Linked DNA regions of Tamandua tetradactyla. The protein of the gene in region 1 purifies or fractionates together with the protein of each later gene. This does not show direct contact. Links are inferred from orthologs where the notes say so. Each region holds a gene or a part of one and is shown on either strand. Other genes may lie near its edges. The genes, in order: H2AZ1, MRGBP, VPS72 and EPC2.

What was found.
Region 2: the proteins of H2AZ1 (region 1) and MRGBP purify together in Homo sapiens (affinity purification with mass spectrometry; 4 studies listed by BioGRID and IntAct, with this or other methods). This does not show direct contact. The link is inferred for Tamandua tetradactyla from reciprocal best matches to the Homo sapiens genes H2AZ1 and MRGBP.
Region 3: the proteins of H2AZ1 (region 1) and VPS72 purify together in Homo sapiens (affinity purification with mass spectrometry; 4 studies listed by BioGRID and IntAct, with this or other methods). This does not show direct contact. The link is inferred for Tamandua tetradactyla from reciprocal best matches to the Homo sapiens genes H2AZ1 and VPS72.
Region 4: the proteins of H2AZ1 (region 1) and EPC2 purify together in Homo sapiens (affinity purification with mass spectrometry; 3 studies listed by BioGRID and IntAct, with this or other methods). This does not show direct contact. The link is inferred for Tamandua tetradactyla from reciprocal best matches to the Homo sapiens genes H2AZ1 and EPC2.

What each region holds. Positions count from the first base shown.
Region 1 is NC_135350.1:24,382,329-24,389,285, reverse strand, and holds H2AZ1 (histone H2A.Z), read right to left. Parts: upstream 2,757-6,957; 5' UTR 2,575-2,756; coding exon 2,572-2,574; exon of another isoform or gene 2,368-2,571; intron 2,154-2,367; coding exon 2,076-2,153; intron 1,788-2,075; coding exon 1,674-1,787; intron 1,344-1,673; coding exon 1,214-1,343; intron 958-1,213; coding exon 896-957; 3' UTR 518-895; downstream 1-517. UniProt on the Homo sapiens protein: Variant histone H2A which replaces conventional H2A in a subset of nucleosomes. Nucleosomes wrap and compact DNA into chromatin, limiting DNA accessibility to the cellular machineries which require DNA as a template.
Region 2 is NC_135327.1:60,345,008-60,352,833, reverse strand, and holds the start of MRGBP (MRG/MORF4L-binding protein), read right to left. Parts: upstream 3,014-7,826; 5' UTR 2,986-3,013; coding exon 2,838-2,985; intron 2,717-2,837; coding exon 2,595-2,716; intron 375-2,594; coding exon 293-374; intron 1-292.
Region 3 is NC_135330.1:4,370,509-4,378,451, reverse strand, and holds the start of VPS72 (vacuolar protein sorting-associated protein 72 homolog), read right to left. Parts: upstream 3,013-7,943; 5' UTR 2,919-3,012; coding exon 2,802-2,918; intron 1-2,801. Other genes in the region: PIP5K1A (phosphatidylinositol 4-phosphate 5-kinase type-1 alpha), read left to right, coding at 7,438-7,519. UniProt on the Homo sapiens protein: Deposition-and-exchange histone chaperone specific for H2AZ1, specifically chaperones H2AZ1 and deposits it into nucleosomes.
Region 4 is NC_135329.1:118,546,691-118,554,621, forward strand, and holds the start of EPC2 (enhancer of polycomb homolog 2), read left to right. Parts: upstream 1-4,920; 5' UTR 4,921-4,994; coding exon 4,995-5,147; intron 5,148-7,931. UniProt on the Homo sapiens protein: May play a role in transcription or DNA repair.

The DNA.
Region 1 (6,957 bases):
GATTTAACTTAGCCATGCTGAATGAACCATAGCCCACTTTCAAAGAAATTCTAGTTTTCTTGTATAAAAAGGGGTAACGTATCTCCTCAAATGTTATTATAGACCTTATTAAAAAGTGTCTAGCACTCAAAAAGGACACTGTTATTATCTTTGAAGTCTAAACGTCAAGTTAATTCTGTGGAAACTGCTGTATTCAAGATTTCCCTACTTCCCTCCCCAGCCCACCAAAGTAAATAGTGCACTGGTGTAATAGTGTCACATAGACCACTCGATGTACAGATGGCCAAACCTTAATCTAAAAATCACAGTATCATATCCTACTGCAGGAACTCCTGCCAGTTTAAAAACCTTACAAAGCTGATTACATAACCTTAAAACAATTTTAGTTGAACCATCTGCTTTGAACTACAGAATTAATGTAATTTGAAGGGAAGAAAATGTGCTTAGTTATGTCGTTGGATGAGTTGCCTATTCAAAATATAAGTTCCCATTACAATCAAGCAAATTTAAAACACAATTAGGTTGGGATATGACCTTTATTGAGCTTATCCACCAGAGTGGAAATAATGTCTGTACAAAACCAAATGTTTGTTACTATAACTTCTGCATCACAATTAAAATCCAAACAGTTTTTTAAAAACAGTCAACTCAATCAAAACCCACTACTTCAGAATCAATAGCTTCTTTGAAGCCACAGTAACACTTAAATATGGTTAAGACTCAAATGCAGAAATTTGGTTGGTTGGAAAGCGAATTAAACTTCCAACTTGCTCAAATAGAATTACAAAAAGGCAAAATTGTGTTTTTCACAGAGATACAGTCCACTGGAATCACCAACACTGGACAGCTGTTAGAGTATTTAGAGTCCTGAGATAATAAGGAATCCAGGCATCCTTTAGACAGTCTTCTGTTGTCCTTTCTTCCCAATCAGAGATTTGTGGATATGTGGAATGACACCTAGGAGAGTGACAGGGATTAATTTTACTTTAATCTACATATTTTAAAAAGTCACACAGTACTTAAAATGAAGGCACTGTACAGTTCAACTTAAAATGTCTTTAAAACGTGACACTCAAATAAAAATGCATTTTAAGTTACATATCATAAATCAAATTTCACGATATACGACCACACTGCATCAATAAAAATGTGTCCTCTTAAACTAGAAGAGAATTTTTTTTCTCTAAAGCATTTTAAAGTTTTAGTTACATACCACCCCCAGCAATTGTAGCCTTGATCAGAGAGTCCAATTCTTCATCTCCACGAATAGCAAGTTGCAAATGACGAGGGGTAATACGCTTTACCTTTAAATCTTTCGATGCGTTTCCTGCCAGTTCAAGTACCTAGAAGGCAGAATCTAATCAATCTCCTTCGGCCAAGACCCAGAAAGCAAAATTAAACCTTCGTGAATGTAGATCTACCCATTGTCATCGTTCCCCGACTACCTGAATGGCAAGATAAAACAAAAACTACAGAGGGGGCAACCAATTATTTCCAAGAGCTGCAAACTCAAGCCCAACAGGATCCCTTATTGAACACCAGCTCCCTCTAGCGTTCTGAGAGGCTTCTCGCTGGGTTTACGGCCTGGGAGTTTTCTTGCATCACTTTCCTCCTTTCCTTTCCTCCCCCCCTAACCAAAACCTTTCCCAGATTACAGGTATACACCCATTTACCTCTGCGGTGAGGTACTCCAGGATGGCTGCGCTGTATACAGCGGCAGTCGCGCCCACACGCCCATGGCTGGTCGTCCTAGATTTCAGATGTCGATGAATACGGCCCACCGGAAACTTAATCGTAAGCACACACAAACATAAATGCACAAAGATGTAAGTGTCAAAGACGGAAAAATTATACAAGCACCAAAGCAATGATTACGGGCTACGCTGGTGCAGCAACACGCCCCAGGATCGACACGCGTGATCGGCTCCCCCCCCCCCATATTTATCATATCGGCAACCCAAGTCGCGACACCACATCTCTCCTGAACAGACAAAACACCACAGAGCGGTGACAAACGAGAAACGAGGTGCAAGGAAAAAGGTCACGATTCTAACACTGCACGAACATCCACTGACCTGCAAGCCGGCTCTCTGCGAGCGGGAAACCGCCTTTGTCTTGGCCTTTCCGGAGTCCTTCCCAGCCTTACCGCCAGCCTGCGGCGCGCACACGCCCGAAAGCGGAGGAGGAACGCAGAATATAGGATTACCAGGGCGACGCGCCCCTCCCCCACGGCAACGCAACCCGGGCGCGAGCGCGGCCCCGCTGGGGTCTCCGGCCCGCCGCGCCGCGGGGGCGACCCCGCCCGCCGGCCCCCCGCCGCGCGCTCTTCGCGGCCGCGCGCCTCCGCCCGCCCGCCCCCAGTGGCCCTGCGCGCGCGACCTAACCGTCGCCGCCCGCCACGAGATCCGAGGCTGCTCCGCTTGCTGCCGACAAAACACCTCCCCCAGATCTTCTAAATCCTGTCTCCGCGCGTTCCCAACAGCCGCCACTTCACCCCATCCCCGTGTATAACGGATCTTACTCCCACTGGCAAAAACCCGCGGAGTCGTCAAGCTCTTCTGCTAAGTTTACCATTTCGAATTCTGCTGTAGCTCAAACAAACAAGGCAGAGAAAGGGCTAGTCAAACCCCCAGCGAAGCCCAGCCGCCTACTCCTTCGTCGCACCGCGATTCAAACTGCGCTGTCTCCCGCCTTCCCCGCTCCCTTTATACTGCAGAATGTTCCCTCATCCGGGAACTCGGATTGCTCATCGCACCAATGGCTGCCACCCGCCCTCGGGACGCGTCCTTGAGGTCTCAGCCAATGATAAGGCCAAGAAAAGGACGGAGGGGCGGGTGCTTCGCAACTCGAGCCGCGATTGGGGCGTGTGAAGCGAGAGGTGGGGGAGGGCGGAGGGACGGCAACTGGGGAGAAGAAGGACACAGCGGCGGGAGGGAAGAAACAGAGCGAGCTACGCTGCAGGAGCTCAGGGACCAGCGGGTCGCGGTCACGTGTCGGGAGGAGGGGCTGAGGGATTCAGGGGAGAGGCAGGCAGTACCACCCCCTTCGTAAACCCCCAGCAGAGCTCTGGAGACCACGTGAAAGCTCCTCCAGGCCTTGTGTACTCTATTGCTCCGGACGGTGCACGCCAGCATAGCGCAGCTTTCTTTCGGGAACCCGGGCGCCCTCTTCTTCGCCCCCTTCGCATCCCAGGCTGCTACTCCTGTCAGACAGGTAGCGTAAACGCATCCTGTAGAAGAAGTCCCGTGGTCTGTCCCGCTCCGCGAGGCATAAACTTCCAGTTATTTCTCCTAGGCGAGACCCGCAGCTCCCTCTGCGTTTTCAGCTGTATTCCACCCGCTCTTTCCTCACCACTTTTGAATCCACCCCCGCTTAGTTCCGTGGGTACAAACAGTTGAACAACCGCACTTCACTGGACTCAAAACCTTTTTTGTCCACCTCACAGGAGGCTTGGGGGTGAGGCGGTATTCTTTAATCAAATCAGAAACTTTAACATTTTTCTGGAGACTACGCATGAATGAATTGTACCCATAACTTGTTATTTAAAGTTGATTTAGTGAAACCTTAAAACTGTTAAGTGTCAACTTTTTTTACACAACATTTTGCTACAAATATTCAGTAAATGCCAGTAGGGGAACTCTTCATGATTCACAGTCAGTTACAGATGGTCCATGTAATCAGTTGCAAATGGTGGGCTTAAAAAATAGTGCGGTACACAAAGTACTATCATAATGCCAGCTACTTAATCTTCCAGCTAATAAATTGGTAACACCTGTGTACATCTCCAGCAGCTTGTGAACAAGTGATAGCAACTCACATTTACAATGTTTAATAGTTTATTATTTTTTTGACAAAATTGGATAGTCAGATTCAACGTATATACTCTAAAGTACTTTGGATTGACTTTCAATTTGAAAGAGTTTATAAGATTAGAGAAACTCCCTATTTCTGGGAGATAAACCCTAGAAAATGGTTTCCCAACGATTTTGAGAAGGTCCTTTTTTATTATTTCTCCCCCTGGGGACCCAGGGGTTCTTATGATGTTATTAATAGCAAGAGTCAGTCAGTTCCCCCACTTAATTGATGTAATAACAGTCAAAAGCTAAGAAACCTGAAGTAGTTAGTTTGAGCTCAATTGAAGCGTCAGGAAATCCGAGGCAACATTAATACCTTATCCAGTTTAGAGATTACTCTATGTGATCTTTGCCGTCAGAGACCCAGCTAAAGAAATTTGCTCTTGCTTCACTAAATAGTGGTTATTTAGTTATTGAGTGATTGAGCTCAAGAGCTGGAAGACTTAAAGTTTGCTCTACCTCCTCCTCACAGTATGATCTTAGTTACTAACTGTTGAAGCCTCTGCCAAGTGGCTATGGTAGCACCTAGTTTCATGTGATTATTGAAATATGGAAAAAGGTTTGCAAGGTACACAGTAGCATGTGTTTGGCACACAGTAACTGGCACTCAGTAAACGATAACTATTATCTTCTACATTGGCTGGATGAAATAATCTTTAAAGTATCTTTGATTCCTAAATATTTTTTCCTGTGTAATAAATGGTATTCCTTGGATGTAGAATCAGCAAAATTTGAAACCTATTCAAGATAAACTCAACCAGATCATCTAAAATCTGAAATTGGTTTAGTACACTCAACAGTTTTCCTCTTCCTGAAGTGAATGGAACAATAATGATTTCTTCCCTTTTCATAGCAGTTATGTGATGGTTTCCTACCCCTTTTCCTGTCCTGGAGAAAACCATGATGCAAAAATATTAATCCTCTTATCTCTCTAGTACTTGTGTTCATGCTAATACATATGTAATGTAGTCATAGTTACATAATTTTTAATGCCATATCCAATAAGTTACTTAATAAATGCTAATAGTGAAAAAAATTAATAATATGAATTATATGGTCTTAATATTATTGCCTTTTTCCTTAATAGCTTTTTTTCTACTTCAGCCAGACACTCTACAACTAATTACTATCTCCTCTCAAACACTAGCAACTAGCAACTACTGTTGGTTTTGACTTTTTATGTAGAGAATTCGAGAGATCATCCCATACTTGGAAATTTCTGATTTCTCAAACACATCTTTCTTTAAACACCTTTTTTTGGGCGATAAATATGAAGAGACTTTCCAGCTATTTCAAAGATGTTAGCCTAGATAGATAATGGCAGAATACTTCTGAGGAAATCCAAATTAGAATTTTGGTTCTTTGTACTTAGGGCATCGTGGAAAGAATGTACCTTCAAAGACTGACTAGTCGTCAATAACTGAGTTCCAGCATGGTATAATACAAAATATTTACCCAGAATAAAAGAACTTGGGTTGAGTCAGACTCAGCCACTCATTATTATTAAATAGGTATACATAGCAGCAGATAAGCCAACCTCATAAAATTGTGAAAGGGTTTCACAGAGTGTGAAGAATATATGGGGTGGTATATTAACTTTTGTGACACAAAGGCTGTAGTTCTCCCCAAATTCTACACATAAATATGATTATGTTAAGAGAAGCCCATGCTGTTTAGTTCAGTGTTGATGAAGCCAAGGTCATGAGTTTGAATTCCATATTGCCCAACTTTGTACTTTCCAGGATCACAGATTACATACATTCAATTCACGGGAAGCCTTTTAAGCCTTTTAAGGAAGACTCAGAGGAGACAGGTCCCATTCCTGCTTCGGCTGATGAGCCTCTCCTGTAGAGTTCATCCAGACCATCCATCAGAGTCATCAGTTTCACAGCCTGCCCTGTGAAACTCTGCGTTCCTGCGGTCACGTGAGACATTTTTATAAATTTTATATTTGCGAGTGTTCCCTGTTGATTCTGTTGCTCTAGAGAACCCTAACTAATACATCTTGGTACCAGGAGTGGTTCTTAAGAAACAGAATCTTAAAAATGGGTTTTTATGAATGGTTTTCTACTCTGACTGGACCCAGAGACACTAAGGACTCTGATTCTCGTAATCAGAATGACACTCCCAATCCATGGACTGAGTTGGCAAAGGAGATAGTCAAAATATCATCATTCAATTCTCCTAATGCTTCGCTTATACGAAGCCAGACTCGGGGATAATGTTTTTGACACCTTTACAGAGTTTTGTAGAAGTAAGAGTTATAGAGATGTTGGTTGGTTGTTGTTAGATACACTGCCTACATTAAGGGATGAAAGGGATGGGCTTAAGGCTTCAAACAAGAAGCTTAAGTGCCGTCTGAAAGATGTAGACGTTTCTATGAGTATCCTGAAGGAAAATCTTATTTCCTGTACCTGTAGACTTGAGATCTCTGAAAATCAGATTCAGAGTCTTATTGTTAGAGTAGCAACTTTACAATGTAAACTGAAATCTCAGTCTTTGCATGGTGTCTGCCGTTAAAGTGAGGGCATTGATTGGAAAGGAGTGGGACCCTGAAAAATGGGATGGTGACATATGGATTGATAATGATGTCGGGGGTGAGGTTGAAGCCCTAGATCATGCTGAGTCTTCTCTAGATAACTCTGTAATAGTTTTCCCTGAGGACATCACTGCCCCACCTCCAGCCTGCCTTGAGGAATTGGCCACCCAACCTCCTCCTGAAGGGATTAGCCCTGGAGTGATTAATTCTGTTTCACCAGATGAAACTGCAAATGAAGGCCCTGAAGCAAATGGCTTGGAAGATATTTCTAATTCTTTTCCTGACCCACTCCCACCACCCCTCATTTCTTCCAGACCTATAACTAGACTAAAGTCCCAACAGGCCCCTAAAGGTGAGGTACAAAGTATCATACATGAGGAGGTACGTTATATTCCAAAAGAACTGTGTGAGTTTTCCAATTTATATAGACAGAAATCAGGGGAATATGTGTGGCAATGGATTCTAAGAGTGTGGGATAATGGTGGGAGGAATATAAGGCTGGATCAGGCTGAATTTATTGATATGGGCCCACTAAGCAGAGATTCTGCATTCAGTGTTATAGCT
Region 2 (7,826 bases), on another chromosome or scaffold:
ATCGATTTAGAAAAAGAAATAAAATGATAATAGAGAAAAAAAAGACTATACATACCATACCCCTTACCCCTCGCTTTCATTTACCACTAGCATTTCAAACTGTATTTTAACATTTGCTCCCCAAGAGGGATCTGGAGTTTTTTTTTTTTTTTTTTACATGGGCAGGCATCAGGCACCGGGGATCAAACCCGGGTCCTCTGGCATGGCAGGCAAGCATTCTTGCCTGCTGAGCCACCGTGGCCCACCCGCACCTGCCTTTTCTAATCCCAGACCCGAGCTCGCCGACTCTTACCTTCTCGGACCTCTTGAATGATCTCTTCAGGAAGGACGAAGTTCCTCTCTGGATTTGGGAATGGAAGAATCTCAGACTCATGCTGATGTCAAATGCGATGTTTTATTTTATTAAAAAACAAAGAAAAAATGTGATTTCAGCCAATGATTAAAAACTCAGGAGCAGTGATGATGCTCAATCATCTTAAATAAATGTGGTGCAAGGCTGAGGAAGGGATGAGGTGCAGGGGTGAGGGAGGAGAGTGGGTTGAGGTGCAGGGGTGGGTGTGGGATACAGAGGTGAAGGGTGTAGGGGTGAGGGAAGAGGGAGGGCTGGGGCGCAGGACTGAGGGAAGAGGGTGGGTTGGGGCACAAGGGTGAGGGATAATGGTGGCTGGGGTGTAGGGGTAAGGGAGGAGGGTGGGCTGAGGCACAGGGGTGAGGGGCACAGGGGTAAGGGAGGAGGACGGCCTGGGGTACAGAGCTGAGGGCCCTGTTCTTCCCACCATCACAGCCTACGATGGCCTGGGCTGGGCAGACAGACCCACAGAAGGCAAGAATGACATGAAAGCCTCAGCAGTCCTCAGAGGGGAGACTCGGGTCTGTGACAACTGAGAGGGCAGGCTGAAGCCCACCCGCCCACAAACACCCCCAGGGTGGCTCAGGGGAGGGCATGGGCCCAGCCCACATGAGATGAGCCTCAGCACGAGTGTATATTCTGAGAGCACAAGCTGGGCAAAACCTGCAGCACACACAGGGCAGTTGAGGGTCCAGGCCGGAGGCCCTCCAGCTTCCGCCCATGCCCACCGGGAACCAGGGTGGACAACCGAGCAAGTGGGTCAGGGTCAGCCGGGGACACCTACTGGGCTCTAGTCACAAGTACCAGGATGGCTGGATAGAAGGGAAAGCATCCCTGACTGGTGGGGAGGTGGAGGCAGGATACAGGGTCTCCACTCAGCAGTCCCCCTGAAATCTGTCTCCCTTTGGTGGTGGTGGGGGCTGGCCAGGGCTCCGCGTTTTATATGATCTTGAGTGATTCTGGAATCAGTCATATTGGGGTGCCATGGCCTAAAAAAGTGATGACCCAAAGTCTTGCCCAGCCCCTGAATGTAATAAGCTGCCCCAGGAACAGGAAGTAGCCATGGAGCGGGCATTGACAGCTTTCTGAGTGCCCCAGAGACTAGACTTCTCAGTGTGAGGCCCCACCAAGCCAGAAGTCTGTCCCTCATACTGGTGGGCCTGGCAGCCTCAGATCCATGTCACTGTGGCAGGAGCATCCCAACGACGGGGAGTCAGTGCCGCACCTACATCTCTGCACCCTGGCCTCCAGCCTAATACAGGGCTGGAGTTGGGGCTCGGTTGGATCCAGTTGGCCTGGACAAATGCCCCCCTGCCACGAGTGCCTCACTATGACAGGGGCTGGTGCAGAGGGTGCCCACTGTCCTGACTCACAGTGGGGAGAGGGGACACCTCCGCCAGAGGGCAGAACCAGACCTCAGGGCTAGGTCGGGTCCTGTACCCACTCCAGACCCCAGCAGACCATGCACCTGGCCGACCGGCCCATCACTTGGGGTCTGGCTCTGCCCAGGCTCAGAATAGCCTCATCATGGACTGCTCACAGGGACAGCAGCACAGGTCTCAGGGTGCTTGCCACGGGCCCCCTGCCTCCCTGTGTGACTGTGCTCAGCTCCCATGTACAGCTAGGGAAGGCCGGGAAAGGGGGTACAACAGACCCCAGGCAGAAGCCTTGAAGATGTCCCAGTCAGGAGGCGGCTATGGCCCCAGGTTCTGCCTGGAGGGCGCAGGTCTTCCTACCCCTCCTGGCCCCCATCCCCCTTGCACCCCCAGGTCGCTGGCCACATGCTGTTCTTCATTAGCATCCTGACCCACTAATCCTCCCCATCCCTTCCAGCAGGCAACTCTGTGAGGGCAGGAACCCTGCCCACCTGGTTCCCCAGAAGCTCCTGTGACCACCTTTACCAGATGGGACCCTGCCTCCTTCTTGCCCACGTCTTCCCTGGGACCTCCCGTGGCTGAGTAGGACCCAAACACCCGGGAATGTGCTGGCAGGCTCCCCTGATGCTGCTGGGACGCCCTCCCCCAGGCCTCAGGCTCAGCCCCAGCTCTCAGACAAGCAATCCCCCATTTCCCAGCCACGAGGGCTTGGCTTTTTCACAAGCGCAGGCCCCCTCCCTGGCGCTACGCTGTGCAGCGGCCCCGTCCCTCCCAGGCGGAAGCTATATCCCCGGCAGGGCCGCGGGACCCGGCGGGGCAGAAAAGATGGGACTGCCGGCCTCCCCCGGGGCGGGCCCCTGGGGCCTCACCAGCGCCTGCATGTCATACATGGTGCTCAGGTGGTCCCAGATGACCTTGGAAGGGACCTGCCGCCCGATGTTCTGGCTGAACTTGTCCCGGATGCAGATCATGTGGAAGTGCCGGTTCACACCTGCGAGGAGGGGGCGGTGGGCAAAGTCGGCGGGGAGGGTTGGCCCCATGCCCCGCCCCCACCCCGACGGTTACGGAACCGCCCCGCCCCCACGCGAGTGCGCGGCCTCAGGCGCGCTCACCGACGGGCTTGTGGCCCAGCATGGCGTGGAAAAGGCACACTTCCACCTCGGGACTCCACACCACCGTCTCCTCCGCGGGGCTCGTTGCCGCCTCCCCCGGCCCCTTGTCGCCCGCGGCGCCGCCGCCGCCCACCTCCGCTTCCCCCATGGCCGCGGCTGGCCACCAGCCCCGCGCGAGGAGGCGCGGCCACGGGCCCGCGCAGGCGCAGGCGCAGGCGCGCGCTCGGGCAGGCGCGCGCTGGGGATCGCGCTCCAGCGCAGGCGCAGTTAATGGCCCGGGCTCCGGCACGCGTTCATGGCGCCCCCTGGCGGCCGCATCGCGCCGCGTAGTGCTGTCCAGCGGCTGTGGATGGGCCACCGTTTCCAGCCGCCCTGCTCTGGCCCTAGGGTAGTGGGGGTTCCTCGGGATAGAACGGAAGAAAATATTTGCAAGGTCTAGTATCCACACTATATAAAGAACTTTTTTTTGTTTTGTTTTGTTTTTTCTTTAAAATTTTTTTATTGTGAATAATAACATAAAAAAGCAATAAATTTCAAAGCACAACACAATTACTTGTAGAACAAATTTCAGAATTTGATGTGGATTACAATTCCACAATTTTAGGCTTTTACTTCTAGCTGCTCCGAGACACTGGAAACTAAGAGAAATATCAGTGTAATGATTCAGCAATCGTGCTCATTTGTTAAATCCTATTAACTGTTACAACTCCACCTTCTCCTTTGATCTTTATAGCTTTCTCTTAAACAATGAAGGTGAGCATTTAGATGCAAAAAGTATAGAATACGGGAGACTGAACTGACTGGGAAGTGTTTGATTGGAAACTCATGCTCACTGTAAGTTCATTGAGGGCAGGAAGTATGTCTTATTTTTATATTCCCCGCACCTAGCATACATCTTGAGACATCACAGGAATTCAAGAAATGTTACTTGAAGAAGGCATTATCAGCAATTCTGAGTCGTCAGTTTGATGCAGTTGCTAAAAAGATCAGTGCCACGTTAATACTGAATAGAAATGCACTGTCCAGATCCAGAAAATTGTCTCATGCTATTTAGAAGACACTTAGGACACAGTGTGGGACTCCATACTGGGCATCTTATTTTAAAAGGGACGTGGCCAACAGAAGAGGATGGCCACAGACCACCCAGTCAGAGGTCTGGAAACTATCTCAGAACAGCTGAAGGAGCTGGGAAGGCTCAGCCCCGAGAGCAGGTGGAGTGGAGAATTTGATAGCTGACCTCACATACCTGAAATACTACAAAGTGAAGAGTTGGCTTACTCTCCTGCTTATATAAAGAACTTTTGAAGCTAAAAATATAAAGACAAATAACCCAATTAAAGAATGGGCAAAGGACTTGAAGAGACATTTCTCTAAAGATCTACCAATGGCCAAAAAAGCATGAAAAGACGCTGAATATCATTAGCCATTAGGGAAAAGCAAAGCAGAACCACCATGAGATACAACCTGCACCCATCAGGATGGCTACAGTAAAAAAGAGACAATCACAAGTGTTGGTGAGGATGCGGAGAAGTAGAAACTCTCGTGCATTGCTAGTAAGAAGGTAAAATGGTGCAGCTGCTGTGGAAAATAGGCCCTTTCTCAGAATGTTGAACACAGAGTTGCCACATGACCCAGCAAGTCCCCTGAAAGCAAATGTCCACTCAAAAAATCACAGCAGCATAATTCACAATAGCTGAGAGGAACAAACCACCCACGTGGACATTGACAAAATGGATAATCAGAATGTGTTCTATCTATCCAACAAAAAATTATTCAGCCATGTAAAGAAAAGAAGTTCTGATACATGACATTACATTGATAGATTTCGAAGATTGCATACTGAAAGAAGCAAAAGACACCATCACAAAAGGTTACATTTTGTATGATTCCATTTATCTCAAATTTACAGAATAGGAGAATCCATAGGACAGAAGGCAGATTAGAGGTTACCTCGGCGGGAGGGGCTGGGGAGCTTGGGAGAAATGGGAAGTGACTGCTAATGAGCACGGAGTTTCTTTTCAGGTGATTAAAATGTTCTAAAGTTGCTTGTGGTGTTAAATGCACGTATCTATGACAATATTAAAAATATTTGAAGTGTGCACTTTGAACAGGTGAATTGTATGATATGTGAATTGTATCTTAATAAAACTGTTAAGGAAAAAAAAGGACAATTCCAGTGGGGAGGGGAGGTTCCAACAGGCTTTACTTGTCGCTGGGCTAGCACCATCCTGCTGGGCCGGAGCTGGACCAAGGGGCCCACGACCACCTGTGCACCGGAGGGAAGGGGCGCCCGGACCCTGCTGCACTCGACAGCTGCCCCCCGCCGGTGTTGACCGATCAACCCCGGGCAACGCAGTCTGGAACTCTGGGTGGGAGTCAACCGCGAGTCCGGAAAAGAAACCACGGCGGGGCGGGGTCTGGATGAGGTCGAAGCTTGGAGCTTGGACCGGTGGGGACCCGCCGGGCGATCTGCGAGCAGGGCCGGGGGCGGGGCCTGGTGCACTGGGGGGGAGGCCAGGCCCAGTGGGGTCTGGGTGGGCAGGGGGCGGGGTATGGGCGGGGACGGGGGGGGTGCGTTGGGAGTGGGGCGGGGCCTGGTTGAACTGGGGGCCTGAAAGTGGGGGATGAGTTTGCATGGGGTCGGAGGCAAGGATGGAGGATGCGGATGGGTACGGGGGGTGGGGGGAGTGAACTGGAGAAGGGTCGGGGCGAGGGTGAACCCGGGGCGGACCTGGGCAGGGCGGTCGGGGGCGGGGCCTCCGGCCGGTCTTCAAGCCTGAGGAAGCCCTAGCGGCCCCGCCCTCTCCCCGCCCCCTCTCCTCGCCCCGCCCCGCCCCTCCTGCCCTGGACCTCTTGGCAGCTGTCGCCCCTCCCGCGCCAAGCTGACCCGCCTCCGGCCTCCGCTCCTGCTCTCAGCCCCGCCTTCCAACTGAGGCCGCCCCCCAGGAGCTCCGTGCCCCGTGTGCTGCTGGCCTCGCCGCCTCTGGCCTCGCTTCTCGGGGCGCTCCGTGGCTCTCGGTTTCTGCCGCAGAGGGTTCTTGGCGAGCCGGCTCGGCCCCACTCCACTGCCCCCGCGTCTTCCCAGAGGTCCTGGGCTCACTCTCACAGGCCCACAGGAAGCAGCCCCCCGCCCTGGGGCTCTCCTGACTTCTGCCTTTGGTTTTGTGGGGCACGGGGCGCATCGGGCCAGCTCAGCAGCTTGGGGGCCACAGGGAGATGTGGGAAAATGCGCCTGGTTTTTAAATTTCCATAAGAACCTACCTCCCAGACTCCAGGCCTCAGTTTCCCTCTGAAATGGGCCCAGCAACAGTGCATTCTCCTCTGGTGTGTGGATGGGGGTTTGGCTGCCCGGGGCTAGAGTGGGTGGTGCTGAGTACTGCCTCTTGGCTGAGGCCGCCTCTGGGTCAGCCCCACCTGCCCAGTAAGCCCAGTGACCGCCTAAGCCTCAGCGTCCCCATCTGCTGGCAATCTGCAATGAGGCAGATGTGGCCCAGAGAGGGGGCATAAGTGGCCCAGGGCATTCAGCTGTCATGGGGGAGCCCTGGTGTGGCTGGAGGTGGTGACTGGGCTGGGCCTGGGCTCCTTGCCTCTGCCCTGACCCCCTGGGTCAGCCTCCCGGGTGTTCCCCTCCACCTCCCTCCACTCCTGTGCTTTACCATGGCTCCATGGCGGACAGATGATGCGTCGGTGTGGTTCAAAATCCACTACACACGAAAGGGGCTCCCATGCCTTCCCCAGCTGCCTCCTCAACCCAGTCTCTCTCTTGCCTTCCATTCTGGGGGTTCTCAAATGAAAGAAAGGTTTAATTGTTATGTTTATATCTCATTTCAAAGTTTCTTTTTTATACAAAGCACATTTTTCTTGACCCACAATCTTTTATTCTTTCTCATCCTTTCTCCCAGGCTGCCTCTCTGAGGCTCCCCCTTCGGCATGAGCAGCCCCCTCCCCCATCCCCCACCCCTGTCCTTAAGGTCACCTTCCCAGGCCCTCACCCCCCACCCCCTGTTCCCCATCCTCCTGCTTCCGCTCTGCCCCGTGTGGCCCTGCGAGGTTTGGACATCATCTTATAATGTGAGGATAAGTGACTGGTGACAAGAAAAGCAACAAGGAGGGGGTTCCTCCAGGCACAAGGAGGTGTGGGAGCGCCCGAGAGCAGAGCGTGCTGAGGGGTCGGGGCTCCCAGCCCCCATCTGGCCCACGGCCCCCCGTGGCTGCGCTGATGTTGGAGAGCCGGGGCCATGGCAGCTCTGGGTGTTGGGACATCGAGGGCAGCTCCCGGGCTCCTTCCCAGGCTGAGGGGCCAGAGTCTCTGACCCTAACCATGACCATCCCTGCCCTGTCATGGGCAAGCATGGTGGCCAGGGGAGGGGTTGGTCTCCCTGTCCTACTGTGGCCCTTCTGTTCCATTCCAAGTGGACATTTCTCTTCTCAAAGAAATCAGAGGTTGGGCTGCGTGGGGTCGCAGGAGCAGGGGCCCAGGCCAGCTGCTGCGGCCCTCAGTGGATGTATCAAATCTTCAGGGGTGTCCCCATCTGCTATGGGGACCCAAAGTGGCAGTTTGGCCCAGAAACCTGCTGGCGGTTCTGTTCCTTGGAGCCGTTCCCAGCATTTTGAAGACACTCAGTTCCTTGCATAGGGCAGGCATCTGCGTTGATGGCCTGCAGGACTGTCCCACCTCCAGGGGCTCTGGAGTCACCTGTGGGACCCCCACAGCACCCCTGGTAGGACCTCCACCTTGCCCACCACTCCACCTGCCCAGGGCAAGTGGAAAGCTTTGGGGCTCTGGACTCACCTGCACTCATTCCAGACAGGCGGTGGGAATTATAGGCTCCTTTTTTGGATTTCCAGACTTAACAAATCAAAATACAAAAAGTGCATTTAAACTGGAGTTTCAACAGGTGACAAATAATGTTGTATATCCCTTGCAATGTTTGAAACAAAGTTTTACTCCAAAATTGTTTGCTATTTACCTGGAATTCAAGTTTATCT
Region 3 (7,943 bases), on another chromosome or scaffold:
AAAGAGGAAATCATGGGTAGACAGAACAGCAGAAACAAAGGTGCCAAAGCAGGAATGAATATAGAATGTTTATGGAATAAGGATTTCAACCTAAGCAAAGCAGAGTGTTTCTGGTAAGAAGTCTTCCTGGCTGATTGCCTTTGGCTCCATAGTCTCCTTCAACATTAACTGATTACCTTCCAGATATGAAAGATTTGAAAAGGAGACTGCATTCAGTCTATGGCAAGGCTTAGTAGTCAGTCTAATAAACCTATGATTTTTAACCTGCAGGCCAGTGATTCTCAGTTCCCTCCATCCCCTTACTTGTCCCAACACTGATGATGAGTAAATTAGTATTGATTTAGTAAAGTTACTGAGAGAAGTATGTCTCATTCCTTAGATGTGTTGGGGCAGTAAAAGAGTTGGGTACTCCTACAATGGGGAACAGAGAGTCACTGAAGATTTGGAGGAGGGGAAAACTGTGTATAAAAGGTGTTTCAGAAAGTCTGGAGGTGGTTAGATGGGCTGGAGCAGCGAGCACGAGGTACAGCCTAGACTTAGGCGATGCCGTTTAGGGCTAAAATAGCAGCCACAATGCAAAAGAAGAAAAAGCACTTTGGGGAGGAAGAATCTACTGGGCTGGGTAGCACCTCAAACATGTGGCTCTCTTTTCAATCTATGATGCAGACTAATGGGCTAACCTTGGTACACTTGCAGCCAAAACAAGCAAACAAGATGCTTTACACTCCAAGCCAGTCAAAATTCCATCTTGCACTGATGACTATCATTTCTTCCCACGTGATGTTTGTGAAAGACAGCCTGGGAACATATTAATCCCCTGAGTTCTAATCTGGTATTAAGTCATATCACTACAGGGTAGTAGTTCAACTGCACATTAGCTTAATGCTCAATGAAATGCTTTCACTAAATTATGGGTTTACCACCATTTCTTTGGCTTTTATTTGAGGGTCCTTAATAGTCATGATTAGACAAGGGAATTTTTTTACATCACTTACAAAACCCTGTTACTTTATACATCTTATAGAAGGATGCTATGATAAATTCCTTTTAAGATTTAATACTGAATAAGTTTGTCACTCTTGACAAACTTACATGCTTCTTTCTTACAAAAATAAATAAATAAATTCAGGATTTGGCTGCCAGGAAACTCACAGCTAAATTTACTATCAATTGCTATTACCATTTTAGCATAGGCTCCTGGTACAATTACTTCTCATCTGTCTCTATTTTTACTGTTCCTACTTTTTGTGTATAGTGTAAGCCTCCTTAAACTATTTTTGGAAGTACAACTGGTACATATTAAATAACTCGTAAAATGACAAAAATAGGAAAATGGGGAGAGGGGACTTGGCCTTGTAGGAGGGATGAGACATTTCTATTTTAACCTAGTTGGTTAGGGTTATGTAAGTAACGATTCCCAGTCAGTCATCAAGTACTGTGGGTTATAGTTCTTTAATTTCTTTGTATCATCTAGTCCATGTTTCCCTACTTTCTCTGCCACAAATTCAGCTCAGGCCACCATCACCTCTATCTTTCCTGGATTCTACCTAATCTAGTTTCCCTGCCTCTAGTTTTGCCACCTTTGAACCATTCTCCTCCTTAAAGACTGATCTGTTTAAAACAGAAATTTGATCATGCTATTCTGATGAATCTCCTCAGTCCTCTGAAGAGTAAAACTCCTGAACACGGTTCTCAAGGCCCTACACCATCTAGCCCAGCCTCCTCCCTCCAGCCTCACCAATCTTCATTCTCCTTCATGCTCTGGAGGATGACTTGCAGATTCCAGGCCAGACCAGGATCTCAGCGCCTTTACATATTCTACTCCATGCCTTCTGGAGACTGTTTCCTTTGCCTTATTCCCAGCCCTACTTCTCTTCATCTAGCCAAAGCTTACTTTTCAAACTATTCTCAGCTTAAACATCACACCCCCGGGGATCTCAATCCCAAACAACTCTGGCTTCCATGATACCATAGCCCTCTATGCCTGTCTCTTATTTTAGTGCTTATCATACAATTTTTAGAATACGTTAGCTGTTAACCTGACTAGTTCCCCCACTGGGATTTGGAATATGTAAGAATAGAGCGGTGTTTTTAATACTTTCTGTTCCCCTAGAGCTTATCATAATGCTTTGTATGCTCTGGGTGCTCAGCACATAATGAACAGATAGATTCGGTCAATAAAATTTAACGAATGCCAGTCCAGTCCAGACACCGGACTAGTCCCACTGGTCTTTTACTGTTGAACACGGGCCATCACGGAGTTTACAATCTAATAGGAAAGCATTAACATGTAAGCAAACCAAATTTAATTACAAATTGAAACATGTTCTATGAAGGAAACAAATGGAGATACTTTTACAACAGTTAAGGAAAGGTTATTTAAGGAGATATTGAGACTTTTAAACTGAAAAAGGAGTGGGCTAAGCCCCTTTACTTTTGCGGAAGGGTCCTTTCTACATCTCAGGTGAATAACCAAGCAGTTAACCAAGGAATATATATCGAGCGACCAGATGTGCCTTGCGTGTGCTGGACGTCAGAAATGGGGTGAGACATGCAACTAGAGAAGTAGACGCTTGGTTTCTGCCACATGTTAGGGTCTCCCACCGAGAGCCTCTCCATTCCTCAGCCCACCAACCCCGTCCAGGACTCTCCCTTTTGGACTACCCCCCCACCCCCTTCTTGAGTATCAGCTTCCAGGGCTTCTCTCTGTTACCCGCTCCCCACTTCTTTGTCCGGGGTTTGTCCCTTCAGGATTCCACTTTTCGCTTCCTCCCCTCCCTCTTCCTGGGCCCGGCTCTTGCCTCTGTGAAACCCCCATAAGTCGTCTGGTAGAACTCATCTTCCTCCTCTGCCTCCAGGAGCCCAGAAAGCCGGTTCCCCGCTGTCTTCCGGGGTGCTCGGCCCCCAGCCAAACTCATACTACCCACCGAGGCTGCGCCCCCACCAGCATCCCGTCACCTAGCTCGACTCGGGACTCGGCGCTCGACACCACTACCTGCGGATGGCCGTGGGCGGCAGAAGCGGAACGTGTACAGTCAGAAGCAGTAGAGCATCGAGGAGCTCTTAGCCCCGCCCCCTAGGCCGAGCTTTACTCTTCAGCCCCGCCCACCCCGGGCGGAAACCACGCCCCCTGCTCTAGTCCGCCAACTCGAGTGACGGAAAAATTCCACTTGGAGACGCTGACGCCCCACCTACTACCGTAAGTCCTGAATTTGGAAATCAACCAATTTTCTTTTAGAAGAGGTCCGTTTCCCTTTGCTCCTATTCGTTTTCCACTCTGCTACCAGTAGGAACTTTTCTAAAAACCCAGACTGGACTCTGTCACTCTTTTGCTCAGAAACCTTTTAATAACTCCCCACCCTCATGAAATAAGGTGCTAACTCGAGCCAGAGCAGTAACCGTGGTCAAGGGCACAGCGTTAGAGCCGGACGGACCTGAGTTCGAATTTTATCTAAGTTCATCTAGTTCTGTGACCTTTGGCAAGTTGCTTTACCTCTCTGCCTTTGTTTTCTCATCTTACAGATGAGACATACTTGTAATACCTACCTGTGGAGTCTGTGCTGTTATGAAGATTAAGAGATAATTCTTGCAAATGTCTTAGCACAGTGTTTAGTAAGCATGTAGTAGATATTTGTAGGTCAAAACTACCTTCATAATTTAGCTTTCCCCTGCCTTTCTAGACTCACCTCCTGCCACATCACTACATTCATCCTATTCCAGCATCACTCCCCTAAGACCCAATTCTCTGGTATGCCCCCATGTGCTTCCTTCGCCTTTGAATCCCTTGCCTTTCTCGTCTAAATACTTATTCTGAATGCAGTGAAGTCTTCCCTCACACTCATCCCTGACTTTTGAGGTACAGATCCTGTAACCAAGGGGATCATGCCTTCTAGATTTTCTGGAGTATCTTCTAATTTCATATCATCTGTGGTATCGTCAAGACTCTGTGTCTACTTTTTTTCTTCCCCCCTATTATTTATTTTTATCCATATGTTCTACTCGTCTGTTGACAAAGTAGATAAAAGGAGCATCAGACACAAGATTTTCACAATCACACAGTCACATTGTGAAAGCTATATCATTATATAGTCATCATCAAGAAACACAGCTACTGGAACACAGCTGTACATTTTCAGGCAGTTCCCTCCAGCCTCTCCACTACATCTTGACTAAAAGGTGATATCTACTTAATGCGTAAGAATAACGTCCAGGATAACCTCTCGACTCTGTTTGGAATCTCTCAGCCATTGACACTTTGTCCCATTTCACTCTTCCCTGTTTTGGTCGAGAAGGTTTTCTCAATCCCTTGATGCTGAGTCTCAGCTCATTCTAGGGTTTTTCTCAATCCCTTGATGCTGAGTCTTAGTTCATTCTAGGATTTCTGTTCCACGTTGCCAGGAAGGTCCACACCCCTGGGAGTCATGTCCCATGTAGACAGGGGTCCGTGTCTACTTTTGTTCCCACTTTTTTATTCTGAAAATATGGTTGTCAAACCATAGCACTTATACATACTCTATGGTAACACCTCTACACATTATCGTAATGATTTATGTGTCTGTCTCCCTCATTATTCGTGATCTTTTTGAGGGCAGGGATTTTGTATATTAGGAACTCTCTACAGTGCCTGGGATATAGTTGGGGCTAAATAATGTTCCTTGAATGAATTAATAAATGACAAGTTGAATGGTTATGGCATCCATCTTCTTATTCTTGCTTCTCATTTGCTCTTGCCAGCCTCTTGCCCCTTCATTCTGACCTTGGGAACTGTTCTAAGTCACTAAAGGAAGTTTTTCTAAAGTCCTGTGGGCGTATGTGTGCACATGCATGTGCAGGTGCCCGTCTGTATGTTCATGTCTCCCTGAACCCTTCTTTGAGGTCACCAGAATGCCCCCTCCCTTCCCAAAGTATGTATTGGTGAACTCCCTTCTCCACTTCCTTGGGAGCACCAAGCCAACTTGTCCTGCACTGCCCCTGCTTCCACACCCTGCCACGTCACTCCAGTTCTGCTATGTCAGGAATGTTACTGGGGATGAATGGCTCCATGACTCAGAGAGTACCCCAGGAATGGAGTGGGAGTGAGCACAGAGACAAGGTTTAGGGGGGAAAGATGGGTGATACCTGCTTCTTAAACACCCCTAGCCCCATTTCTTGAATTTTGCCTTCATTCATTCATATATTCAGAGCACAGATATTGGACAATTACTCTCTGCCAAACACCATTCTAGATGCTTGAGAAGTGAAAATGGGTAAGATGTAATCTTTACCCTGAAGTGGTCACAGTCTTGTGAGGGAGACAAAAACAATACAAGGTGGTAAGTATAATAGTAAACATTTTCTGGTACATAAAGGAGAAACAAAGACTCCTAAGGAGCTACAAAAGAGGGATTTCTTCTTCCAAGAGGGATGAAATAGAATTTACTTTTTTTTTTTTAAAATATGGAACGCTTCACGAATTTGCATGTCATCCTTGCGCAGGGGCCATACTAATCTTCTCTGTATCGTTCTAATTTTAGTATATGTGCTGCCGAAGCGAGCACGAATTCACTCTTTTATCAAAGTGATAGATTAGATTCCAGGGAGAAAAGCCCTCTGTTTGACCTACTGCCTCTGTCAGTTAGGGCTTTATTGGTCTTTTACCAATTGTTAATCAGAAACAGCTTTACATCTACATCAAATGATTGCTAAAGAAGTAATTCAGGAAATGCTAACAATCTCATGCTTTAGATGGAAACAAGGATAATTTACTCAACAGGTATTTATTGAACACCTACCACGAATCAAATCCTTTGCTAGGCAGTGTGCCCCCACCCTGCTATTCCCTATGGTGTTTCTTTGGGGGTGGGTATTGCTATAGCCAATCATAATATAATTCAGTACTTCACAATTTCACTACTGTAGAATTAGGGGTGGCAGTCTAATCATTTGAAGCTTTTCGACCCAAAGAAGGAAAAATAATCCAGCAGGTGGCAGCAAGAAAACAATTATCTTGGATCTTGGTGGGAGGAGGGGTAGAAGGCCGATGTAAGTATGTTGGGGATATTTTATGGACTTTTAGGTTCTAGGTTCCCTTTCAACAACTCAGAAGACATCAGGATGGAGGATAACTAGGCCATCTTGAGGGCTGTAAAACCTGGATATTTTCCATACCTCTTCATTTCTTCATTCTACAAATAACTTTTGAGCCCCAACAATGTAGTCACAGCGAGGAATTGGAGGTATGAGTGACCCAAACACAGTCCCTGCTCTCTAGCAGTTTACAATCTGTTCAGAGACTGTACCGAACCTCGAGGGCACTTTGTTAAAACTGAGTAGACTTAGTGCGAAGACTAGACCATGAGAATGGGGGAATTTCTCTATGTCTAAAGTCCTTTGGAACTCAGAGACTCGAGAGTTGGAGACTAAAGCCTTGAATCGCGGGAAGATTGTACCATGGTCTAACTGCTTTCTGTGGCTTTTTTCCCCCAAGTGTCCATACTTCATTTATTACATATTTACATATTTACTGAACGCTGTCACTGTGGCCAGCATCGTGTTGGAAGCAAACCAAACGTAGATGTGCACAGAACGCCATTCGGAACTAAGATAAGCACGCACCTTAAACTAAATAGTAAACAAGGCGGTAACGCCGGAAAAGAGTCAAGATGGATCCTTGGTGACACGTATTGTTTTACGATATGCAACTGTTTAACGTCTCTGACTCGGCACCAGCGCTGCTCTCCAGAGCTCTTCGAGAAGTGGTCCCCCACACTCTTGCCGAAGTTCGGAGAACGCAGTCCAGAGCCGGCAAAGAAGGTTCCTAGACCGACTCGCCAAGCCTCCGTAAGAGAGGTGAGCCGACCGAGGCGCGCCTGGCTTCCACCCGAGGATTCGTTAGGGCACGAGGAACCCGCCTCACGTGATCGGTAACAGCCTCGCGATTGGCTCGGCTCCCCTCAGGGCCGCCCACCCCTCCGCACCGAGAGGGCTGGAACGCTGAGATCAAACAGGCGCATGCGCAGTGCTCGGATTTCCCTTGACACCGGGAGCCGAGCGGTAGGGTTGGGCGATTAACCCGCTGTGGCTGAGGAAGAGGGGGAGGGGGCGGTCTCTCCGCCGGATTTATCCCCCCGCCTCTTATCCCTTTGGGATTGGTGGGCCTGAACGTGGGTCGCGGCAGCTGGCTTGAGCCTAGTCCCTTGTGAAGGTGGAAAGCAGCCTCCTTCGGAAACCGGCTAAAGTTGCGGAGGGGGGGGCTCTCCCCCTGTGCCGGCGGAATGGTGCGGCCCTGAGCCGGTCCGGGAGCTGGCCCGACGTGTTTGAGGGAGGCCCCGGAGGGGCGGGGAGGTGGCCCGCAGGACGCGGGTTCTGTGAAGAGACCGGGGCAAGATTCGACTCCGAGAAGAGGAAGAGCTGGGTTGAAAGTGAAGGAGGGCGTTGAGGGGGGAGGGGGCTGCCAAGATGGCGACGGCCGCCTCTGGGCCGTCGACGGTCGGATTTTTATCTGCGGATTCCGGAGTGCCTCCCTGCACTTCGTCCTCAGGTAAGCAGGGCGTGGGAAGGGGGCTGGTGACGGCTGTGTGATGGGACAAGAACAAGATCGGGGGGGGCACCTGTAGCTGGACTGTCCCAGGGGTTGCCGGCAGGAGACCAGAGGACTGAGCTTTCAAATAGCGGGGATTTCTGAGTGGATCGGGTAGTCTGAAGAAAGGATGGGTTTGATTGAGAAAAGAGAAGCTGTTGAAAACGTTCGAGGAGACGGGGTTGAGGACTTGAAGGAGGAGGGTCAGAAAGGGATGGAATGGAAGGTGGGGATAGGAGGGAAACCGGAGGGAGTGGAGAAACTAAGGTAAATGGAGGCCCGATAAGTAGAGAGGAATTAGGATGAGAAGCAGGTACAATCGAAGTTGATTGCGAGGTTAGTTGGATAAACAATGTGGAAGACAAGCCATAGAATTTAAAAGGTA
Region 4 (7,931 bases), on another chromosome or scaffold:
ATAAGGTCAATAAGGCGTGGCTGTCACGCCTCTCAGCTGGGGCCCCAGCTAGCATAGGGCTCTGTGCCTGCTTCAGTTGTCTGAGAGGTGCCAGCAAGTCAGGAAGACTAAGCTGCCTCCACAGGCATATAGAGATCACCTTCTAAGTTACCTTCCAGAGATGCTTGAGGAGAAAAGGATGTGTGAGCGGAGACCAGGGAAGGAATCTGAGGGGCACGGATGTGACAGGATACCCAAACCAATAGCAAATGTATACTTGTAGCCCCCCAAACCCCAGGATTTCCCCCTCCAACTCCCTTTTGAAAAATAATATAAAAGGTCCAGTCAGTTCCATGGCTGTAATAATGGCTTCAGCTGAATGGCAACTGTGCTGAATTGAGAGCTGGTTTCCTCCAAGTGTGGAATTTCTCAAGGGCAAGGTAGCTGGATTGCAAAGGATCCTATTTTACCTCCCATGACCTTGCTCCAGTGAACTGTATTTCTCTGTTTCAAACTCAGTTATTTTTTAAAACTGTCATGCATTTTACTAAAGTAAGTAGGATTATATTCATCACTTCTGTGAAATTAGGCCTCTCAGAAATCCAAAGTCCTGAAATTAAATCTATGTAGCTTGCTTGCTGTTTGGACACAGATAGTGGTCCCAGTCAGATTCATCAGCTCTGTCACAAGAGCTTTACTTATTTCTGGTATCCCCATCCAAAAGCTTGAGTGAGCCACATCAATCTATTCCATGTGTGGACCAACGCCAGTGTTTTCCTGTCGGGGGTGCAGCAGCGAGTGGGGTGGGCTCTCGGTGTGATTCAAAACTGAGTATTGTGGACCCTTTGGAACTGCGTGTTTTCAAATCTGTTTCCGTTGATCACTTCTCATTTTTTCTTGGTTAATAAAATACAAAGCTTTGGGCTGATTATTTTTGTAGTGGAATTGGGAAGTAAATCGTCAGCTTATACACAAGGTGGCACCCTGTGATTCCTACCAGGTCTGAGAGGAGAGATGCTGCAAAGAGACTGAACCACAGCTACAAATTTCTGTTTACCATCTGGTATTCCCACTGTGGTGAATATAGAGGTGGAAGTACATGTTTGGCGTGCCACCTCTGAGTGCACTGTCTTTCCCCACAACACAAAGATTCAGAGCTGCCTCGGTAAAGGGCACTAGAACCAGGGGAGTGATTTCAATTGATTGCAAAGAACGCAAACTCCACATTCAGACTACATATGGAAAACAACACAGCTTTATTTGTTTATTGGTTTTGGGCTCCTTCTTGGGAATGAGGGGGAGGAGTGGGGAAGGCAGTTCACATACCAACCCAATTAACTTTCAATTGGGTTTGCTAAAACAGGGAGCCAATTAGAAAAGACATGACATTTAAGAAACTCTGAGATAGTTGAATGGTAACTGTGTTTACTAGTTTTAAGGTTCTTTTAAAAAAGTAATTTGTTCATTATTTGGAAGTTGCCTGCCCTGATAGCAGTACTGGGAAATAGAAAGTGGAATATAATCTCAATTCTTATAGTTACTTGACATTTATTCTAATTTTAGACCACATTTAGGCAATGGTTTTATTTTTGATATGGTTTATAACTGGTTCTAATTTTGGGGTGTTTATATAGATTACACTTGCTGGGCTAAATGCATGCCGTTTGGAATTGGTCTAGAGCATATCTGAAGTAGACTATGTGAAGGTCTGTACTCAGTGCATTGTACACTGAAATTAAAATAGGCTATTAAACTGCACAACCATTTTAAATAGACTTCGATAAAGACATTTTATAAGGTCTACTTTAGAAGTTGAAAAAGATATTTTCTGTTTGCAGCACTAAGAACTATATGGGTATTCAACAAATAGATTAGAAATAAACTTTATTTTATGAGAAATAATATTTATATACAAATAAAAGCTACTTTCCAAATGTGAAACAGAGGTACATTCTGGTTTGAGCACTGAACTGGAAGCCAAGAAAACACAGGCTGTGTCTCACTTGAAAAGCGTATTGTGTTATTTGACTCAAACTGTTTTATTCCCGCTCTATAATCATTGCCTACGAGGCAAAAAGGAAATGGAGCTTTGGGGAAGAAACCGATTACATGGTCAAAGCAAAAGAACAAAAGTAAAGCAACAACTACCTTAGCAAAAACCTGTCCCTATTATTGAATTTCAGATTTAAAAAAAGTTTATTTGAATTTCCTTAATTGGTTCAAAAATTCCTATACCCAAAGGTAGGAAGCTGGAGAGCAGGGTAGGTCCTAAGAGCAAATATTGGCAGCAGTGGTTAGGTCAGGTGACAGCCCAGTAAGGTACCTGAACTCTGTCTGAGATGGGGTGGAATGGGGTCAGTTTCACTGAATTTCCTGGTGGAATATCAGTCAACAACGTACGTTAGATGCCTGCTCTATGTTCAGATGTGATTGACAGAGCAGACAGTGTTCTTGCCCTTCCTGGGGCTATTACATCTTTAGGTTCTTGATTATACAATTTATAACCCATTGGTAGGAAGGGCTCAGTAATCTGGATCAACAACTTTGGAATACTGAATGGTCAATAAACAGAAGAGCTTGGCTAGCTGTGTAGGACTATTAAGAACACATGAGTTTTGGAGTAAAGCTAGACTTGGATTTGAATCTAGTCTGGATCTCAGCTTTCTTGCTGGTAAAATTACACTTCTTCACAGACTTATGAGAATTAAGTGGAATTCAATTACTTGAGCGAATACATCTATCCATTATAATATCTAGGATACTACAGAAACTCAATATTTTCTTTCTTGAGAAGGAGTAACAATAAATATAGGGAACAGAAGAAAACTATACTTTCTGAGAAGTGCTGGAAATTTAAATAGAAGTCCTGGATGACTCATTTATTTCTTCAACTATCACCTTAACTTTTCTCTCTTTCAGGCTTGAACCCAGTGCTGACCCTCTCCCAACAATGTCTTCCTTGCAGAGGACTGGAACTCCTTCAGAGTGCAGCAGTCCAGTAAGGGACATGTGCATAAGCTTAAGGAAGGTAAAGCTTACAAGAAGAAATGAGTCACAGCAACTCCATTGTTTCCAACAACAAAATGGATGGAAAACAGCTAAGCCCCAGAGTCTTGCTGGGCCAAACTGGTTAGACTGTTTAGACATAACCATGAACTCCATATCTACTATTCTGCCTTGAGGAGAGAAGAGGGCGTGAAAGGGGGAAGAGAAGGAGGAAGAGAAAGAAAAAAGGAGGGGAAAAGAAGGTAATAGAGGAAAAGATATAGTTTTGGCATCAAATGGAAATGACTGTAGGCATCTTTTTTTTTCTTTCACTGCTGGATTTAAGCAAACCATCTACCTTTCTTTGAGTTAGACAGAATATTTATCATGTATTACGAAATGTTAAGATGCATTACCCTCTTCCTAGGGATTTTGTGAGAAATCTGTAATGCTTAAGTCAAACCAAGAAACTAAACCAGATTACTTCAGCAAGAGCTCCTATTTATTTAAGACTCACCTTGATTTTCCTTTCTCCTTAGACCTTTCTCTGATCAGCTCAGGCTAAAAGTAATGTCTCCCTGCTCTGAACTCGCAATTATTGCTCGTACAACTCGTTTAGTAATCATGTGCTACTGCCTCATGTCACCTCTGGTATGGTGTTTTCAAGTATTTACATCTTTTGCTGTCATTTATCTTTCCAGCTGCCCGGTTCTTCAACTCTTTCTTTTAATGTTGTTCATCTTTCTAACTGTCCGTTAAAGTGAAAGATCATCGTGGGAAGGAATTTAATATCAAACTTCTTTGCGTCTTTCACAGCACCCAATATTTTACACAGATCTACCACTTCAAAAATGCCTACTGCCTTGGTCAAATTTTCTAAGTTTAACGTTAAAAAAAAATCTCCGCCTCAACCCGGCCCGAAATCAGAGATATATCTACCATCCTAAAAATATACTGAAGTTTGGAAGACCGGTACACTTGTTGCACCCAGCAGCCTGAAACCACTAACTCTCACTGCTGCCATTAGCATCCATACTCCCAGTGAAGGCGAGGATGAGCAAGGATGCCTTACCTTAGAGAGCTCTTTCGGTCAGGTATTAAAGAGAGTATGCGACGAAGAGGACTAGGACAGGACGAGCGTTTGGGGGTGGTGGGGGGTGTGTGGAGGGGAGGTCTGCTCCCCTCCGATTGGGCAGATTGAAAGGTCTTTTCACACTTCCAGGGGACGTGCGACTTGGAGGATGCGAATTAGCCTGCGCTCGGGCGTTTTGGAAATAAGCGCTTTATACGCACAACTTCGGGTGGTAGCTGTCGTAGCCCTGATCAGCATGTTCCATTCCCGCTCTCACACACACACACACACACACACACGCGCGCGCGCGCACACACACACACACACACTGCTCGGCACCGCCGGATTTTGCCGGAGCCTTCCTTCGGGGCGTCCAGAGAGCCGGGTGACCGGGCCGCGGAGGAAGAGGCGCACGCTCTGCCGGGCGGGATAACTTGCGCACCTGGCACCTGCCACACCGCGAGAGCGCAGGCTAGCGAGCCGAGGGTCGCCGCCGCCCCCTCTCCCCTGAGCGGCCCGAGACTGAGCAAGCTCCCGCGGGCCGGCAGCACCGCGGAGAGAGTGGGTGGGCAGGCGAGGGAGGGGAAGGGAGAGGAAGGAGGGAGGAAGGGAGGGAGAGGACGAGGCGCGTTCCTGCGACGGGGGCGCGCTCTCGCGCGGGCTGCCGGGATCGCTCGCCGCCGCTGTGGTAATGTCCGCCATGTTGGCCATGGCGCAGGGAGCGGATCGGGCGGGCGAGCGACGGATCTAGTGTGTGGAAGCGGCCGCGGGCGGCGGGGGGCTGTTTTCGGGCGGGGTGGGCGCCCATGCTGTGGCCGGGGGCAGTGAGGAGGAGGAGGAGGAGCGGGCCGGCCGCTCTGCACTGAGGAAGGAGGTGGAGGAGGAGGCGGGAGTCCTCCCCCCCTCCCCGCCCGCCCCGACGCCGCCGCCCGGGCTGTTCCTGTAAGGCGGGGAGACAATGAGTAAACTCTCCTTCCGAGCGCGGGCGCTGGACGCCGCCAAACCGCTGCCCATCTACCGCGGCAAGGATATGCCTGATCTCAACGACTGCGTCTCCATCAACCGGGCTGTGCCCCAGATGCCCACCGGGATGGAGAAGGAGGAGGAATCGGTAGGGACTCGAGTGTTTATTACCCCCCCTTCTCTCCTCCCCCCTCCCCTTTGTCAGTCGGGCCTCGCCATTCACAGAGCGCTTTACGCTCGCTGGAGGGCGCCGCTGCCGCTCCAACGCATGGGATCCTACGCCGGCGGAGTAGCGTAAACTCTCTCTGCCGGCGCAGCGCCCGCCCGCGGCCGCCATGTTGTTGCGTCCCAGTGTTGTGATTAGCTCGCAGCGCCGCTTACGCTGTCGTAAGGGGGCCTTGTCGTAAGCGGCGACCGGGAATGGCGCAGGGGATGCGCCGGCCGCACTTGGCGTAGGCCTCTGTTTACCTTTCTTTCCCCTGCCTCTGGCGCGGGGTTAATGGGTGAGGGATCCTTTGGTTCAGAAATATGTGTTCACTTCCCATTTTTAAATTTGGTTTTGCATTGGGTTCTTTTTAAAATGACGTATGGAACGTAAGGCGCTTTTAAAACAAATATTTTCCTCTCAGCAAGGTAATCCTCACTCCTCTTCCCCTCTGCCCGAGCTGGTGCAGCGGGATGAGGTGGTGCAGCATTGCGGCTGGGAGGGCGGGGGCAACGACTCCGGAGCGGGATGTAGCGTTGGAGCGGCGCGACGGGCTCGTACCTTGGCCGCGGCTCTGTTAACCTCGCCGGGACGGCCGCAGCGTTAGAAATGAACTAAGACGTTTCCGAGCGGCCGCCCGCGCTGCGCTGTGCCGGTGTTCGGTCTCGGAATTGTCAGCGGAGGGTAGTTTTTCAGAAGTTGAGGACCTAGTACTTCTAAATTGACAGATGTGTGTTTGATGAAATGCAGAAATGCTGCTTTGTCCTACCCTTATGGGTTGAATTTTGCATATGGATGAATTTCATCTGGCTTGACGAGAGTGTTTACGACTCTCGAGTGGTGTTACTTGCGTGCGAAGTTCATAGTAGCTGCATCCTCAAGAATTTCTTCAATGAACTTACGGTCCCGCCTTATTGTCAACCCCGGGTGTGTGTGGATTGGTTCTCTTGATTCTGTGACTGTCAAAAGAAGGCTCAAGGTCTCCGTGATTGGTTTTCTCTTTTGACTATTAATATTGCAGGAAATGCTTTTATGTCTTTGATTGGCTGCTGGAGTTCTGACCTCATTATGTTACCCTGTTATTACTACTTTCTGCTGTGATTTAATCGCATTTCTCTTTAGTGTTTGATTACTTGAGAGACTTAACCTTTTCAATAAAAATGAATAAAGCTGTAGTATAAGGGTGAACACTCAGTATTGTTTAAATATATAAAATAAAAATCCCAACATTTCTGCCTAAGGCTTTGAGCTGAATGCTATGTGAATTTTTTTTTTAAATTAAATTTGTTTCCAGCTTAGCTCAGTTTTCCATGCAGGATGGTTCACATAACTGAGTTTTCATTAATAACGTTTTAAAAAAGACAGGTTTGGATTTCACAAAGCTAAATTTCTATTAATATATTTTGAACCAAAAAGAAAGGTGGGTTATGAGTTTAGTATCAGTACTTTCTTTAGTTTCTTGAAATTAGTTGGGAAGAATTTGAGTCAAGAAACCTGTTCTAGAATGAACAGTTAACTCCTGGAAGATTACTTTTTGCAAACAATAATTAACAATATACCTGGTCTTTATTTTTTCGGTGTATCTTGGTATTTTATCTGAATTTAGAAGGAAAATCTGCAGTTCAATTATTTTTTTTTTATGTTGGTCATAAATAAGTTCTTAGCACCTGTTACGATTCTGTGCTATTATCTTTTTCAGTAAAACTTGTGAATTGCAGTCTAGGGCATGACTGCCAAAGTTGGATCTCTTCAGAATTGTTCAGTTTACTTCAGTTTGCTGCTGCATGCCTCAGTTTTTGAGGAAGAAGAAATCCAAATTCTGATAGAATTGAAACCCAGGACCTATGACTCTTTGTTTTGTCCTCTCTGCCTCTTTAAAGTCACTAGTGGAAGTTCTTAAACTTCCAAACAAAGCCAGACATTAAGATTTATAGTATAAAAGTCTTTTGCTTCCCAGAATGTTTAATTGGAGTGTTAGTTTTTTAAATTACATGTTAGTTTTTAATGTCAATTCATTTCTTAGTCTTATTTACAGAACTTCTTTATTAAGGAGATTTGTTCACTTTAAAACAAAATGCTATACCTTGATAAACAGTTCTAAGCAGCAGCAGTAAAGTATTTTGAATTTCACAAATTTTTGTGTTTCACTTGAATTGTATGTTCAACTGAACTTTCAGCATCTGTGTGATCCAGTTACTTTTATAAGTATTCTTAAAAATCACATGGAACTGTTTTTTTTTTTTTTTAAATCTTGGCTTATGTATTTACTAATAAACTTTACTAAAGTTTTTCCTATTTACTAATTTCTCCACAGTGTGACCACTATCTTGCTTGACTTTGCAAAATCCTGCCCTTTGACTTCGTGGATGGCTTCTGTTCCTCCACCCTACTCCCCAATAAAATTAAGTCTTCTCCTCTGTGCAGCCATTGAACTATCATCTTTGTTTATATAGTCATTGACTTGCTTTTTGAGTTACTTTCTGATATGCCTCAGGAAGGTAATCTAGGTGTTCTTTGGCATTGGTAGTGGTATTCTGTTAGTTCATTTTTTCTTTCAGACATGCAGGTATCTTTTACTGCTTTTCTTCCCTTTCCTTATTTTCGAAGGTTTGCCAGTTGGCATCTTCCTATAATTTGGTTTCTGAATTGATGCTTATGGCACTTGGTCTAAGTTAGATTATGTAAATTTATTATTTTTTTTTATTATTTTTTTTACATGGGCAGGCA